Drosophila melanogaster: one gene and its partners. The protein of the gene in region 2 interacts with the protein of the main gene of each other region in a pairwise test. Each region holds a gene or a part of one and is shown on either strand. Other genes may lie near its edges.

Region 1 (6,883 bases), on a different chromosome or scaffold from region 2:
TTTGTATCTAATCTAAAAGATGGTCATTTCTGAAATTTCCTATCCTTTAGATGAGTATTGCTGCATCAAGAACAAAGTATCTTGTCATCTTAAGAGCAATAGCCCCTGATATAAACACTCATTGCTGCTGCCGCGGAAAAGTGTAAAAGTTCAATATAAATGGAGAAAGTGCGTCGTATATAAATCGTACATATAGAACCGATCTCCTACGCATCCGTCATATGATTTTTCTCTGTTCCGGAATTGTCTGTAGTCTCATTAGATCACTTGGTAGTAAAAACATGCCATTTTGAACTTGACATTTCCACGTTCACGTATCTCATACTTATATGCAGAATGCAGTATGCTAGGAGGCATAGTTTGCATGTAGAGAAAACCAATGCCAAAATATTAAAATCAACGTCAAAAATATTTAATTTAATTTGCACACACGCTCTTTACGTTCTCTATTACATACCGATATACAAACATTTTGCTATAAAATATTAGATGAATATCATACGAAATGTGATAGAACTTGGTTAAAAATGTTTATTTGCCAAAACAAGTTGGAACTCTATGGATGCCATTGATATATCCATTAAGTTTGGGTTAATCCCATATTATGTATGTACAAATCGGTTTCAAAACTGACAAATAAGCGTATTTTGATCGAAACGAATGGCTAAAATTGAAATACAATACTTCTAGTTAAGTATGCCACAACACGAATTAAAAATGCCCATTAGTTCACTAACACATTTCCAGTCTACTACTTAAGATTATGTACGAGTTCACGCGAATACACAAGTATTTAACCATTGACATGTAGCCCATGATCCCAGGATTGCAGCATCATCTACTGCAGCACCACACCCTGGGCATGTTGCAGACCCGTGCACAAGTACAGCATGATGATGCTGAGCGCCTGGACACGCTCATCCGATCTGTCCGATTTCCAGGGCGAGGATTCGGTGGCCTTCTCCGCATCGTTCATCAGCGTATAGCCCTCGGTCTCCGCATCCAGGGCTACTTTCAGTTTCGTTAACTAAACATTGATAGGATCATTATACATATATATATATATACATATATCTATCCAGAAGCCATGCAGACTTACCAACTCGTTTATCTTGGCCACACGCTCATCGGGCGGCAGGGCAGCGTATAGGAGTTTGCTGGTGCTCTTGGCCAGATTCATCAGATCCTCGTTGCGGGTGTGACGAATGATGGGCTCCGTGATGACGATCACCTGCTCGAAGCTGAGCTCCGGACAGTCCAAGGGCAGGGCCTCCAGGTGCTGGGTGACGCTCTCGAAAGGATTCTGCTGCAGAGCAGGAGTCGCCTCTTCCACAATCGACGATTTTCTGTCAGTATTCAAATATGGTATAAAAAAGGCACCCATATTAATTGGTTCTGCATGCGAACTTACCGCGATGGCGTGTGCTGTGGACTGGGAGGCAGGCTCTTGGAGTTCACCTGCTGACCACTGCCAGTTAGCGAGGATACGATGCCGGGAATGTCCAAGTTGCTCGCCTGCCGCTTGATGCCCTGGGCCAGCATCCCGGTGAGGCTGGATCGATGGACATCCAAGCCAGAGGCCGTTGGCGATTGAATTTGCCCCTGATCTCCGCCAGATGCAGCAGACGTCTCATCAAACGGAGTCGCACCCGTGCTGGAATCAACGATCTGTGGATTGTCGGCCTGTGTGATGGTGAACTCCGGTCGGCTGGCCATTGAAGGAGTGGAGGAGGTTGCCGGTATGGAGCCGGTACAGTCAACCGGACCGCAGACGGTGGCCATCTGGCACTTGACTATGCACTTTTTGTGGCAGCACATGGAGCACTCCTGGCACTGCATGGCGTCCTTCAACCAAATTTTCTTGCCGCAGAAGTCGCACTGTGTTGCCCGATGGAAGTGGGTCCTCACAAAGTCGTGTGCCCTTGGAGCGGCAGTGGTGCCACTAGAGGATTCGCCAGATGTGGAGCTGTCTGCCATAGAGCTCGTCAGCTTGAGGAACTGCGACTGATCTTCTGAAGCTACTCGGTCGCCAGCTAAGGGATTTCTGTTGGGAGCATAAGAATTAGTTTAGTCTTTTAATCCGTAACTTGAAGCTTACCTGGCCGGAGACTGGGACTTGGATGTGCTTTTGATGGGAACATCACCCACCGTCAAATTGGGATTGCCCATCCAGGAGAAGCCAAACAGAATGTCGCCAAAGCAGAGGTTCGGATTGAAGCCGGACTGATTGGACAGCGGATGCGTCTTTCTGGGGATCAGTAAATATATATCAAAACAATTGTGCATTCTGGAGTTTCCACTGGTGGTTACTGGCCAACTTACACAGCCTGCAGTGATGCCGGATTGAGACTGATCTGCTTGAGGCACTGGTTCAAACTGGTTTCGGAGCACTCGACGAGAATCTGACCGATCTGGACATTGTTATAACCCAGAAGCACACTCTCGCCGGCGGATTTGCCAAAGACGCAGACGTTGAGGAAGCGACTGGAATTGTCCAACTGGAAGCTGCACACGTCTTCCATGTGGATAAGTGGACTAAATGGACAGTCGATGGTGGAGTGCTGATAGAAGTAGTTGACCGGCTCCTCCACCTCCTCCTTGCCTTTGTCCTTATCCTTGTCCTTATCCTTGTCCTTATCTTTGTCCTTGTCTTTATCTTTATCTTTGTCCTTATCCTTATCCTTGTCCCGATCCTTATCCCCACTCTCTCGACTCATTGTCTTCTTGATAGCCTTGGCAATGAGGTTGGACTTCTTGGGGGAATTGGTTGGTGTTCCGCTCAAACTGGGCTTCACCACCAGGTGCTTGGGTGTCGGATCAGCGGTTGCAGCCTCATCCGTTTCCAACTTCGGTTGGCAGGGATACGAACTTGGCAAATCGCCGATATCCTCGTACTTTTCGAAGTCCTCCAGTATGGCATCGTTGCGAATAATTCCAGGAATAATGCGCTCAATGCGCAGACTAAAGACAGTGGCCTGCAGCGTCTTGACCACCTTGGCGATCTGCTGAATGGTGGTCACCGGCCTGCCTTCGATGGCCACCAGAACGTCGCCGGCCAGCAGGTTGGACTTGCAGGCCGGTGTATTCGGGAGCACGGACTCGATTCGCACCACCTGGCTGCCGCTCTGCTTGAAGACGATTCCAATCTGCTGGTTCTTCGCCTTGTGAATGAACACGTCCAACGAGATGAGCACATTCCGGCTATCCCGCTGACTGGCCTCGATAAACGGCACCGGCGCCAGCGTGATGGTGCAGTACGTCTCACTGGCGCCCGGATAGCCCATCAACCGGGACAGCTCCGCCAGCTTGACGGTGAGCAGGCCATTCGGTTGAATGTCACAGTCGCTCGCGTCCTCCTCCGCCGTCCAGTGGAAGAAGGGCTTGTAGCGCAGCTTGTAGTTGGGCAACGTGTGTTTCCGGCGAACCGCCTTTCGGATCTGGTTTGAGATCAGGTTGGTTATGTTCGACTGCATCTGGCGGCCCTGGTACTTCGACTCGATGTCCAGGATCAGCTCCGGATCGCCCAGGAAACTAATTGACCAGTGCGTGTAGGGCTTTCTCGTGAACTGCAGGCGCGCCATTCCCGAAAGCTGTTTGACTGCAATAAAAGATGTAAATTTAAATAGTAGGGATAAGTAAAATATATATGTACATATATATAAGAACATCATTAAATATTTAAATATTTTTAAATACAGAAAAAACCCATGAATTTGTTTCATTTCCAATGGCTTTTTCAGATTCGTGCAAGGCTGGTGGTAGGAACAATTAAAACCCATTCCCTGTCGCCAACTCACTCACCCCTAAGCGTTATCGATCCCTTCTTGCCCAGCACCATGTCCGCGTCAATGGAAGTTGTGAAATTGCCAACGTAGTTGATGTCCAGCAGAAGGTCGAGATTCTCGATGCGCTGCTCATCCTTGTCCAATTCCACGTTGTGCACCGATAGCGACTTGACGTCCGGAAACTGGTCGCCCAACTCGAGCTCTTTAATCTAAAATAAAATAGATGATTTGTTAGTACACCAATTAACTTTGAAACTAATAAAAGAGTATAATATCACTCTAACCCTTTTATTTTAATCAAAACAAAAAAAAATCTACTTCTCACCGTTAGCTTGTCCAGCAGTTTTCCGGTGGTAGTCTTGGAAATCAGTTCGTCCAGCTCGATGGACAGCTTGCGATAGAACCATTTCCGCACCCGATTGGAGTTCTTGAACTCGTGGAAGAGAAACTGCATGACAAAGTTGAGGGAGACCAGGGCGGAGGCCCGTCGGAGGCTCTCCTGATGGTTCTCGCATCCATTCCCAGCGCCACCACCCAGTCCGGAATTGGATAGCCTCTTCAGGTTCCTGGCCGTCTGCTTGATGTTCTGCGATTGTGGTGAAACCAAGTTGGAAATTGTCAATTGAACAAGGGAATTTACTCCAGCTACTTACCAATGGCAGGGTGTATTTGGCATTCGCCTGCTTCTGCTCCTCGCTTTCGTCGGGCAGATTCGAGAACTTGATGAAGATGAGATACTGCAGCAGGATCATCACCACTCCGCCGATCAACAGAAAGATCAGGCAGAGCAGCAGAATGTTTGAAATGGGTATCTCCATGCTGGCGATGCCTTAAATTCCCAATCTCACTCGAAAATACTGTCTATTCCTCCGGATCGTATTTGCTGGAGGAGCTGCGAGGCTACGATGGGACCAGCTGCGGAGTCCAAAGCTCCACTGGTCACAGTATATCTGATGTCAGTCTTTTCAATTACGTTCTGGATGTGCTCGCATTGTATCACCCTCGGCCAGTAGTTCGTTCGCCGTTCACACGGAGTTTGGATGCATCCGAATCGGAGCTCTTGACCCATCCATTTGGCTGATACCCTAGCCGATTTCGCCAATTTGAGGCTGTTCCCAGCTATCGGTAGCTGTAATCTTACAATTGTTACAACTGATGAATAGGCGACATAAAATCAATATGTATATCCGCAGCACTGGCAGCGCCTTTTTTTTTTTGTGCCGTGGCCACTTCGCAGTGCGCCTGCGCCCGGATCAGCTGGCAACCTTCCTGGGGGTTGATTCGCAGCCAATGCAATCCGGAGACCAGTCATCAGCCGGACCACTTGGAACAGCTGTTCGGAACGGTGCACCCGGGTGCACCCTAGGAATTCCTGATGGCAGGAAGTTTCAATTGCTTTGAGCTAGATAATTTCGAGAGGCGGTGCAGGCTCTTCAAATCCTTAAGGATGCTGGGATCCTTTGGTGGGCTTTCCATGGGCTCATTCATTTGTTCCATTTATAAACTAAAATAGTTGGGCATATATTGAAAAGGTATAAAAATCTACTCAATGCGCAAGTAAAAAACACAAGATGTGCAATTTTTGTGTTATTTTTTTGACATTTATTTTCTTCTTGTTTTTTTTTTGTTTTTATTATGGTATTCCTTTACATTATGTAAAATAAGAAAGTATTAATAGTTTTATTAACAAATTTGTTGAAGGCAGGTATTTATGTTATTATATGTTTATGTATGTATATCTTGTATATAAATTACGAGTCATCTTTATAATTACATAATTATTAAATGTAGTTTAATTATCTCTAGCGTATCTTAGTAATTAATTTAACTGCTTTATTCACTTAGTATATTAAATTAAGATATTTATATTTATATTTATGGTTTCTCTCATATATTTATGTATATGTATTATCATTACAATTTAGCCGTAACAGTTACATTCTTCTAATTTTAAACTAATTTCATTATTATTAATTTTGTTTCCTTTCCTATTCGCGTATCATCCCCTCTCACATCCTATATTTTATATTTCTTGTTGCTTTGTAAAAAAAAGTCAGATCTACTTACATATATGTATTTCCTTTTTATTTTTGCTTGTTTCCGTTCTTATTTTTTGTTAAGTTTTCTTCTTTATTGTTTTTTTTTTTTTTTTGTTTCATGTAACCGCTCACACCAGACAGTAAACAAATCACAAAATATACAGTCGAATCGTTAAGTTAGGGTTCAATGGTTAAATGTTTGCCATTTCAGACAGAAGTAAGCCACCTACGACATGAGTTAAGTTTAACAACACAGGAGCGCGGACCGTTTGGGTCACCTCAATTTTTGGATTTGAATTCAATTTTGAATTTTTTCGAATTGAGGATTGGCTCGGCAGCAGCCTTGTGTGCGCACTTCATCATGGTTGCATGCATATGTATAATGACTCTGAATCTGGATCTTAATCTGGATCGGGCAATGCTTTCCATGGCATCTCCATGTGGCGGGGGAATGCAAGGATCTGTAGCTGGAAGAACAATCGATCGCAGCATTGTGTAACAATATATATTTTGGTTTTAATTTTGTAAGTAAATGGCGGGACATGGTGCCCGAATTGTTCTTCCCCGGAAATATGTGATGTTTCGTGTATCGGATCCCTGCACTTGGCACCTAACCATACAAGTAGGAGTACATAAAGTTGGGCAGAGTTCGCGGTCGGCCAGCTGGGAGCCTTTTTTTTTCGAAGGACGAAGCGAAGATTGTGAGCATTAGAAGCGAATCGAATGGAATCGAGTTGAAATGGTCACGAGCTTGCCAATATTTTAGCTAACTAAATATTTCCTCTATAGGCATCATGAACTGGATAAGCGATACTGAATACTGAATTCATATCAGTGAACTAACTTCATACTTTGTACTCATTTCTATTTTTTTTTCTGTTTTTTGGTTTTGTTTTTTCTTGTATTTTTTTTTATTTATTTTCTTTGGTGTTTTTTTTTTTTTTTTGTATCATTTATCTATATTTTGTTTAGTTTTGGCATCGGGGCAATGATTCAGTAGTAGTAATTGAGCTAATGAGCCCTAAGCTGCCCTTCCAAGAACTCTACTGTTTTGTGGGG
Region 2 (3,193 bases):
AGGAATTCAAGGTTTTATAGTATCGAACTGTGAAGCTAATGCATAGTAGAAGTGTTAAGAACTTAAGAAAGATTCCTATGCATGTTTTTGAAAAGATATCATATTCTATAAATGGGCGGGAGAAAGTTCTTTAGTTTGGCGAAGAAAGCAGGAGAAGAATCACGCTATGAAAAGGTAACCAGCAGAGAAACAAAGGCAAACGACACTTGAAAAGATATTCGCAAGAAAGCCGCGAAAGGGGGAATGCCATAAATCAAATGTATCTACGTATCTGCGTATCTTGTATCCATTGTGGCTGTATGTATGTAAATGCCAGACAATAGTTATGGCTATGCTGGGCTTAATTATACGCGGCACTCGATTCGATTCGCTGGAAAATTAGCATATGACAAGGCCAGTTAACAGCTAGCAAAACAGTTAGCTAAACTCCGCGGATGGAGTCACAGATGAAGATAGATGCCCATGTAATTACCGGAGCAGAAAAAACCAAACAATTAAGATAAAGAATTTTTAAACTATGACTCAAACGGATTCACCATTGTTTCATTAGCTAATTTTAGACATGGGTTTATTGCGGCAATAAGCATTTATAATATTATAGTTACGACTACGTTTAGGGGCTAATAATTTAGACTTTAACTTTGACTTAGAGAAGATGGAGCGGGTAGATCACAAGATCACCTCGAATCGCTGATCCCGGCCAATGGGCTCCGCTTTGCTCTTCACCAGATATTTGGCGAACTCCGCGGGCGACTGGAACGACTTGATGGGGAACTTGCCGAAGCGTCCGTTGGTCTTGGACACCACATAGTAGATGGGATAGGGGCCCGGCGTCATCTGGACGGGTAATACTTGACCTCCGACCTCCACCTGCTTCAACTGCTCCACCTGCCGCCCCGCGGACAACTCTCCAGCCCCCCTAGCGTCCAAGTTCAGTTGCTTCTGCTGCTTGAGTTTCTGCTTGGGAAAGGCTTTTAGTTCGTATTTCAAGGCTGGCTGCGTCGCATCTTCACCACTGGCGGCCACATTTCCACCCAGCAGCTTGGCGGGACGAGGGCGCCTCTTTCGCATCTGCTTGGAGTCCACGTACTGCCGCTGACTGGATCCGAATGCCGTTGACGGACGCAGTGTTTGCACCTGGATGAAGGGCGAGTTCATTTGGCTGCCGGTGGTGTCTTTCTTGGGCGGTAGGTCCTGCGGATGCACGCGGATCACCTTCTGCGTTTGGTTGGCTATGCTGATCACATCCTCCTCAATGTCCGTGGACTCTTCGATGGCGAGGGATGCCCAGGTCAGTGCACCCAAGCAGAAGCAGAAGAGCTAAATGGAGTTAAATCAAATGAATTAAACTATGTCAGACTTTGGAGTATTTGAACTTAAGCCACAAGTTTTTATAAACTGTTCTTGACCAGCTGTTGACTTCGACATCTTTAACTATCAACAAAGTCGAAATGATTCAACTTCAGCTGGCAAATTATTCTATAATCGAACTTAAGTACTTATTTTTTAGTGCCGTGGGCGATCAATCACAATTACCATTAGCCGATGATTGGCGAACATCTTGTAAGATCAGCCAGGTAACAATGTATCCGCGGATTCTGAGGCTTCTGTGGCTTCCGCAACTAGCGACTGATGTTGGATGCTGTCGTTTGACGACTGAAAAACACTGGAGACCAGCGATCGCTGTAAGCTTTTGAGCTGGAGATCCCAGATATGTATGCCCCCCATTGCCCCCCGAACACGATCTGTTTATAATGAAGTGTTGGTTTTTTTTTTTGTTTTGTGGCTCGCGCATTTGGTAGGAGCCAGAGAACATATAATGAGCCGAAAATTTGTTAGTTTTGTTGCGTCTTTTGTCATTTGGAGAACCCTCCATCCCGTAAGTTCCCCAAATTAAACGCGCACAGTGGGTCGGAGTATGGCAAAAACTGGTAATCATTTGTTTGGTTAATTTGCGTTGGTTGTCGCCGATTGCCTCGCTGATTAATTTGTTTTGCGTCTGATCACCTCGGATCCCACATTTCCCCCTTCTCACTACAATGATTGTATTGTGGATTGTTTGATTTCAAGATATTTTTATCCGTTGGTGAAGTACAAATTTGTGCTTAGCAAGATATATCAATTTCGCTTAGATACATACAATTCTTTAGGTATATATTTTTAACTACATATAAATATGAAATGATTTACATAAACTTATAAATTAATCAAATCATAAACATTCATCAAGTATGCTATTTATAAACTATTCAAATTAGGTCTTTGAAATATTTTCCCACTTCTTTAAAGTATTTAAACTCGTATTTCCTTTTTCGGCAGAGTATTCCACAGTCGGAAAACAGCTTGATCATTTGTTCCACAGATCATTAGGCGTGCATTACTAATTATTGTAATGAAATTATTTATGATAATTGTCAGAGTCTCAGACACTGCACATTGTTGATCATTCGGCGTGTGCACAAAACGATTGAGCAGAAATAAAAATCAAATAAAGTTTGCCAGCGAAAACAATTATAATTCAATTGTATTCAGATGGGAGATATAGAAGTCATGAAGCCGATGACTCAATGTTGTTCTGTTCCTAGTTGAGCTTTCTGGTTTCTAATCTTGGAACTTGACAAGCAACCTAAGATGGGATTTGAGAGCAGGGAGCAGTTCAGCGTAATGGAATTAGAGATCTTGAACTTAATGCTCCGAACAAGGTTAGCTTTTTATGCGGATTGTAATCTTATAATTAAAGTTTTAAAGCGTCAGCGAACTCTTATTTTAGCGTATTTACAAACTTTAAACAAGTTCATAACTTGTTGATTGTGTCACCTCATTAATATGCACATCGAATTCATTGACCCAGTCTGCTTCGATTCGATTGAATAACTTCACTAATCAACTTAGAACAAACCATCATCGATCGATGATGATTATGTTAATGATATGACGGCTAAAAGGGGTCAGCGATTTGTATTGCCAAAATCTGTTGGTGATCTGCTGGCATCCATATTACCATCGTAAAAATTCACTTTGCCATCGATAGTCGAAATGACAAAAACCATTTATAGCTTTCGAACATCAGAGGCGGAGGGGGGAAAAAAAAGAAATAGAATGTAACCAGGGAAATGCAGCCACTCCAGACGGTAATAAAATGCCCAAGGAGCAGGCACCAGGATCCAGACAATGGAATCCATTCCATTGCTCC
Region 3 (5,341 bases), 1.9 Mb from region 2:
CAAACAGGATGCGGAATTCTCGCCCAGCTATTGGCTAGGCGATAGACAGCATAGCTATCTCCACAGCGAGGACTTCTTCGTTAAGATGGACGTGGAGTCACCGCTCGACCTGCGCATCCATCGAATCTGAACTGGCCAATCGGTTCGCCTCTCGTCTCTCTTCCCCTTCTAGTCATTGCGCTGTTTCCCAGCTCTTGTCACCACACCTAGATTACTATTTAACGTGATTAAAGACTGTTGTAATTGAACTGCTCTAGTTTGGCATGGTGGCATGGGAGTATCTTCGGGATTGATCTGATCTAGGTTCCTTCATAGTGGTTCTGGGCAAAAAGAGTATTTCAAAGATTTCGAAAAACCATAAGCTCAAGGTATGGGAAAATCCCCAGTTACAGGCGATTCGTCACAAAACTAGTGACCAATCTTAATCGACTTCGATTAGAATTTATGATCCAGACAACCTTTGTTTGGAGGAAAATCCCCATTTCGAATGGCTGGGCTAATAGAGCGCTAGATATTGGAAAATATTTATTGTTTAAATGCGCATCTAGACGAGTTTTTCACACAACTGTTAATAACAGATTTAATGTTTTTTTTTGCGGTTTATAGGAATGTTAGTTGATCTAGATAACCTCTCGTTTTTATACAAACAACAAGAACAAACAAAATAAATAGCAAAAGTATTTCACATTTGAAATAGATGAATACACTTTAAAAGCGATATCAGGTTTTACACTATATATAGGCATATATATATACTGGCAACATACTACAGAGAAGAACCAAATAATCAAATTAATATTATTGTTGCACTCGCGTCATTTAAGGAAACATATACGTTGTAGTCGCATCATCAGGATCTGCTGTACAACTTGTACAGCTGGGCTGGATCTGTATCTGTATGTAGCTTGTGGCGGCTATCGGCTTCCATCATTACACTATGTCCAGTTACCGTAAGATTAGCCGTATCATTACGCTCTAAAAAATCTTACAACTCGTACAATATATTGTCGGCAAATTGGGCACTCGTTCAACACTTTTCCACAGCTCGTGCAGGTGGCCATGTGTCCGCACTCTAGAAAAACGCACTCAATCGGCGCATCCATGCAGATCTTGCACAGCTCATCAGTGGCGAGTTTTTCAACAGCTGCGTAAATGGTTGAATCGTTATGAGGGTGAAATTGTAGTGCAAAGTCCAAAGCTCACCTGGACACTCGCGCATGGTTTTCCACAGTCTGCTGACGCGGTCGAGAAGCTCCTGCTTCTCGCAACATCCTTTGTAGTCGACGCGGTGCAGCATCAGCACCTCCTTCAACTGCTTCACTGTCAAACCCTCCAAGTCTTTTCTATAAATCAATAGAGAGGCATTAATCGATCATGAACATTCTAGAGAATAGAGCATTTACAAATCCTCAAAGTCTTCCAAATTGACAAATCGTGAGTCAATGCCGGCTGTCGGTTCGAAGTCCGATGGAGCGGCGTATACATGGATGCCCTCGTCATCGTCCCAGCGGATATCTTCGTCCTGCGTTGGCGAGAACTCAATTGTTGGCGTGATGGGCATGTCCGGTGATCTTCCACCAGCAGCCACACTGATAGCATCCACGCTGAGTGGCGACACCGCGTGGCTGTCCGCATCGGAGGCATCCACCGACTTGGTTCGCTGCTCCAGGTACGTGAGAAACTCCTGGAGCTCCCGTTTGATGTCCTCCTCGGACATTTGCGAGTTCTCCAGATGGCGTCGCATTTTCTCAACATGTCGACGAATGTTTGTCTTATTCTTACCGCAGCGCTGGCAGCTCTGGCGATGGGAGTGCGGATGCAAGCCGTGCTCTGGGTGTTCACTCAGCGTGGAAAGTCCCAGGCTTAGGCCAGGTCCACCTGGCGCCACAGGCGACTCGTCATCGCTGGAATGGTAGCGGCGATTCAAGTAACCATCGGATCGTCTTCGAGTCACTTTCTTTGTGCGCTGCGGTACGGCGGGATAGAACGCCGGACTTGGGTTGGCCGGGCGCTGATTTACGTTAAGTGCCTGAGTACTTTCGCCCATCTCACTATCATCACCCTCGACCGCCGGCCTGCTGCGCAATGTCACCTCTAATATCTCATCGGCGGCACTCGTGGTCGGCGTCTCTTCTACAGCTTCGATCCGGTTTACCTCCAGCACCTGCCACTGATCCAGGTGACTGCTGTTGGTGTCCGTGTTGGCCTTGCTCTCGTCTGAGATGCCACCAATGGCGCCCAGCTCCTCAAAACTTGACTGCGAGGAGGCATCTGCCTTGGAGCTGCTTGACCCCGGCTTGGAGCAGCCTGGACTAGGTGCTGTGTTCCCTGCAGGTCCATTATCTACGTTCGCCAGATCAACAGGACTGGGCTCTGCCGCAGCATTGACCCTCCGGCCACTGGTATCGGTTTTGAGTGAAATCGAAACACGCTCACTGAACGTGGCCATAATCTCTTCGTCTGAGCACTCGCAGTCGGACTTGCTTTGCGCGTCTTCCTGCTCTTCATTTCTCGCTTCCTGATGAGCCACATGGGCCTGGCTGCTGCTACTGGCATCGCGATTATTCGATGACTGCGTGGAAGTCGAGGGACTGCTGCTGCTTTGACTGCCACCATTGGTGGTTGTGGCTTGCTGTTGGACATGCACGTGTTGCGGTCCGCCGTTTACGGCACTGGCATAAGTGGGTATCTCACGCGTAGATACTCGCGGCTGCTCGAAGATGTGGGTGGGCACCTCGGGCTGCCTGCTCTCCGGCGGCTTTGTGGTAACTTTGGAATCGAACGAGGCTAGCGAATCACTTATGTTATCGCTTAGGTTGGAGAAGAAGTTTTGGCACGACTGTTTAAGGCTGTCGATGGGATTGGCCTGGCCCCGACCCGGACTATTGGAGGAGGCGTTTGAGCCTCGGCTCCTGTCAACCTGGGCCACATGGGTGAGAACCAGTCCTACAAGCTCCTCTTTCTCTGTGGGAAAAGTTGTATTAAGTTGTGTTTTTGCCAGAGGTTTCCCCATCCAGGGGACTTCCCGGATGAGTAACTCACCTAGACAGCCTTCAGTGGAGATGTGTTTGGACTGCAGATAGAAAATCAGGTCCTTGGGCTTGAGCTTTAATAGATCTGTCCTTGACAGTGGTCGCTGAGCGAATACAGAGCATCGTTTGCACCGCCTGGATGCAATGCAGTTGGCACAGTAGTAGCGTCTAATGGAGGTTTACAAAATATCGATGAATCCCCGAAATCCGTGAAAACCAAATGAACAGGCCATTACTCACTTGCAGTCGAAGCAAGCACGCTTGCGACGGAACACCGTGAATTCCACACCGCAACTTTCGCAGGGCATCGTGGTCGTTGGACACTGGCCAGCTGCTCCTATCGACCGTGTCCTTGCACTGAATCCTTGCCCTTCCTGGCGATTACACCCCTTCCGCCTGCTCACGCCCACTGTGCTGGCATTGCGTTTGTTTTTCAATGTCAACGCCGTGAATCACTGGATAAAGAATGCCCTGCACACGGCTATCATTTCCACCTGGTGGGGATTTGTTCAAGAGCGCGGAGGTGCACTCAACACTTAATCATACCCAGCTGACTGCGTTTGCGATGATTTTTATAATTTTATCAGGCCAACCAAAATAGCAATTTAATGTACTAGTCTCACGGTTGCATGGAGGCATTCCTATCGGTCCAATCTGCAGATATGAATATCGATAGGCCATGCAATTGGCGGTTGATTTGAATACATCCCCCCATTTTAAAGCAACTATTATGTTAAGTTAATTTACTGGTATATCAAACTAAATACGCCATGCCATAATTAACAAATCCAATTAAGCAGTTTAATCTTTTAGTTGGTTTTATTTAATTCACATCCACTACTTACAGTTAAGTATGTAATTGTATGCATTTAAATAGTTAAGTGCCATAAAATGTTGCAATTTTGTTTAAAATAATACATCAATTAATTGCTAAATATTATACGGTCTACCTTCTGCTCCGCCTTCAAGTCAATTAGTTATATACACATGTGGTTTCCGATGATTGAGCTTTTCCAAAATTCTTGTCGATAAGTCTTTAATTACATAAACAAATGCGTCCGTTGTTGCTCCGGCCAGAATGTTGGCCAGCCATAATAAGAGCTGGCTAATGATGGCAGTTGGAGAGTCCGTCCTCAAGCAGCGCCAGCACCGCATCGTTCGTTTTCAGTGGCCACGGGTGTTTAAAGTTTTCTACTTTCACAGGGGATCTTAAGCAGCAGCTAGAGAGAGCGAGTGGTCAGTATAGATGAAAATGTACATTCTTTAATTTCTATTGGCGAGTTGAATGTTGCTTGGCCCTGAAGAGACTGGAGACTGGCTACTATGACACAAGACCCGGATCCTCGGCCTTCACGTGGCTCTGTAGGGGATCGTCGTTGTTGTTGTCATCGTCGTGGATGCCCGAGGAAACCAGCGCCCGGCTTTTCTCGTAGTCGACAAAGTCGTCGAAGAGGCTGGGCCACGCTTCGGTATCATCGTAATTTTGTATATCACATTGTTCCGTAAAATTGAGGTACATGTTCCATGTATCCTTCGGTATGCGGCGAATATTCGGGTGCTTTTCGAGGAAGTGTATCCAGTTGGAGAAGAGATCAGGTGTTTGTACAGTGAACACAAGTTTCCACAGGTCAATAGCCATCTCCAGAGAGAGGACGCGCTGATCGGGCTCCAGACCAAATCTGAAATTTGAGACGCTAATTAGGTACTGATCTTCCAAGCAGTAAGAACGGCATACCGGAATGTAAAGCGGTATAACTGCTTGAACATCTCGGCGTCCGCCTTGAGCATCTCGATTGTCTGCTCCAGCCGCACCCGGATACTGTCTATTGTGTCCGCCCTCATCTTATGCAGACCCTCAATGAACTCCACCTTGGTGAAGCGGCACATCTGCGAGGCATCCAGGCACCAGGCCAAGACGAGAATTGCGAACTCATCGGGCTGATAGTTGAGGTCATTGCATAGTCGCTCGATGCCGTCCGTGAGTATCATCTCCTCGTCGTCGGGATCTTTGTACACATCGAATAGTTTGCTCAGCGTTTGGTGCGATACCTCCATCGATTCCTGGACAGCTATTAGAATATAGAAAATCGAATGAGTATGCCGCCAAGGCAGTCGAATGAACGCTGACTCACCAGTTGTTATGATATCGCTCATGGTGGGCGCACTGCCATTAAGCAAACCTAAAGACTTAAAACTATTACGCTTAGTATCACAATTGTTTGCTTTTGCTGGCTTGAGTGGAGTTCGGCTAGAGAGCAGTTCATCGGTTTCTAGAGTGCATAAGCCGGAATAAGAGAGGTTTCTTAGAC

Evidence for each region. The genes of interacting proteins can lie anywhere in the genome.
Region 1: the proteins of CG10205 (region 2) and Pdzd8 interact in a two-hybrid assay, tested with the Drosophila melanogaster proteins (one large-scale study listed by BioGRID).
Region 3: the proteins of CG10205 (region 2) and CG17019 interact in a two-hybrid assay, tested with the Drosophila melanogaster proteins (one large-scale study listed by BioGRID).

The regions. Positions count from the first base shown.
Region 1 is NC_004354.4:11,925,911-11,932,793, forward strand, and holds Pdzd8 (PDZ domain containing 8), read right to left. Parts: upstream 4,941-6,883; 5' UTR 4,604-4,940; coding exon 4,439-4,603; intron 4,372-4,438; coding exon 4,111-4,371; intron 3,995-4,110; coding exon 3,802-3,994; intron 3,599-3,801; coding exon 2,323-3,598; intron 2,249-2,322; coding exon 2,099-2,248; intron 2,045-2,098; coding exon 1,412-2,044; intron 1,347-1,411; coding exon 1,100-1,346; intron 1,028-1,099; coding exon 839-1,027; 3' UTR 514-838; downstream 1-513.
Region 2 is NT_033778.4:14,831,299-14,834,491, reverse strand, and holds CG10205 (uncharacterized protein), read right to left. Parts: upstream 1,661-3,193; 5' UTR 1,561-1,660; coding exon 1,537-1,560; intron 1,321-1,536; coding exon 670-1,320; 3' UTR 541-669; downstream 1-540.
Region 3 is NT_033778.4:12,930,399-12,935,739, forward strand, and holds CG17019 (uncharacterized protein), read right to left. Parts: upstream 3,648-5,341; 5' UTR 3,341-3,647; coding exon 3,273-3,340; intron 3,201-3,272; coding exon 3,043-3,200; intron 2,965-3,042; coding exon 1,404-2,964; intron 1,344-1,403; coding exon 1,204-1,343; intron 1,145-1,203; coding exon 969-1,144; 3' UTR 514-968; downstream 1-513. Other genes in the region: sug (sugarbabe), read left to right, coding at 1-130; SCCRO3 (squamous cell carcinoma-related oncogene 3), read right to left, coding at 4,354-4,711, 4,768-5,101, 5,165-5,302.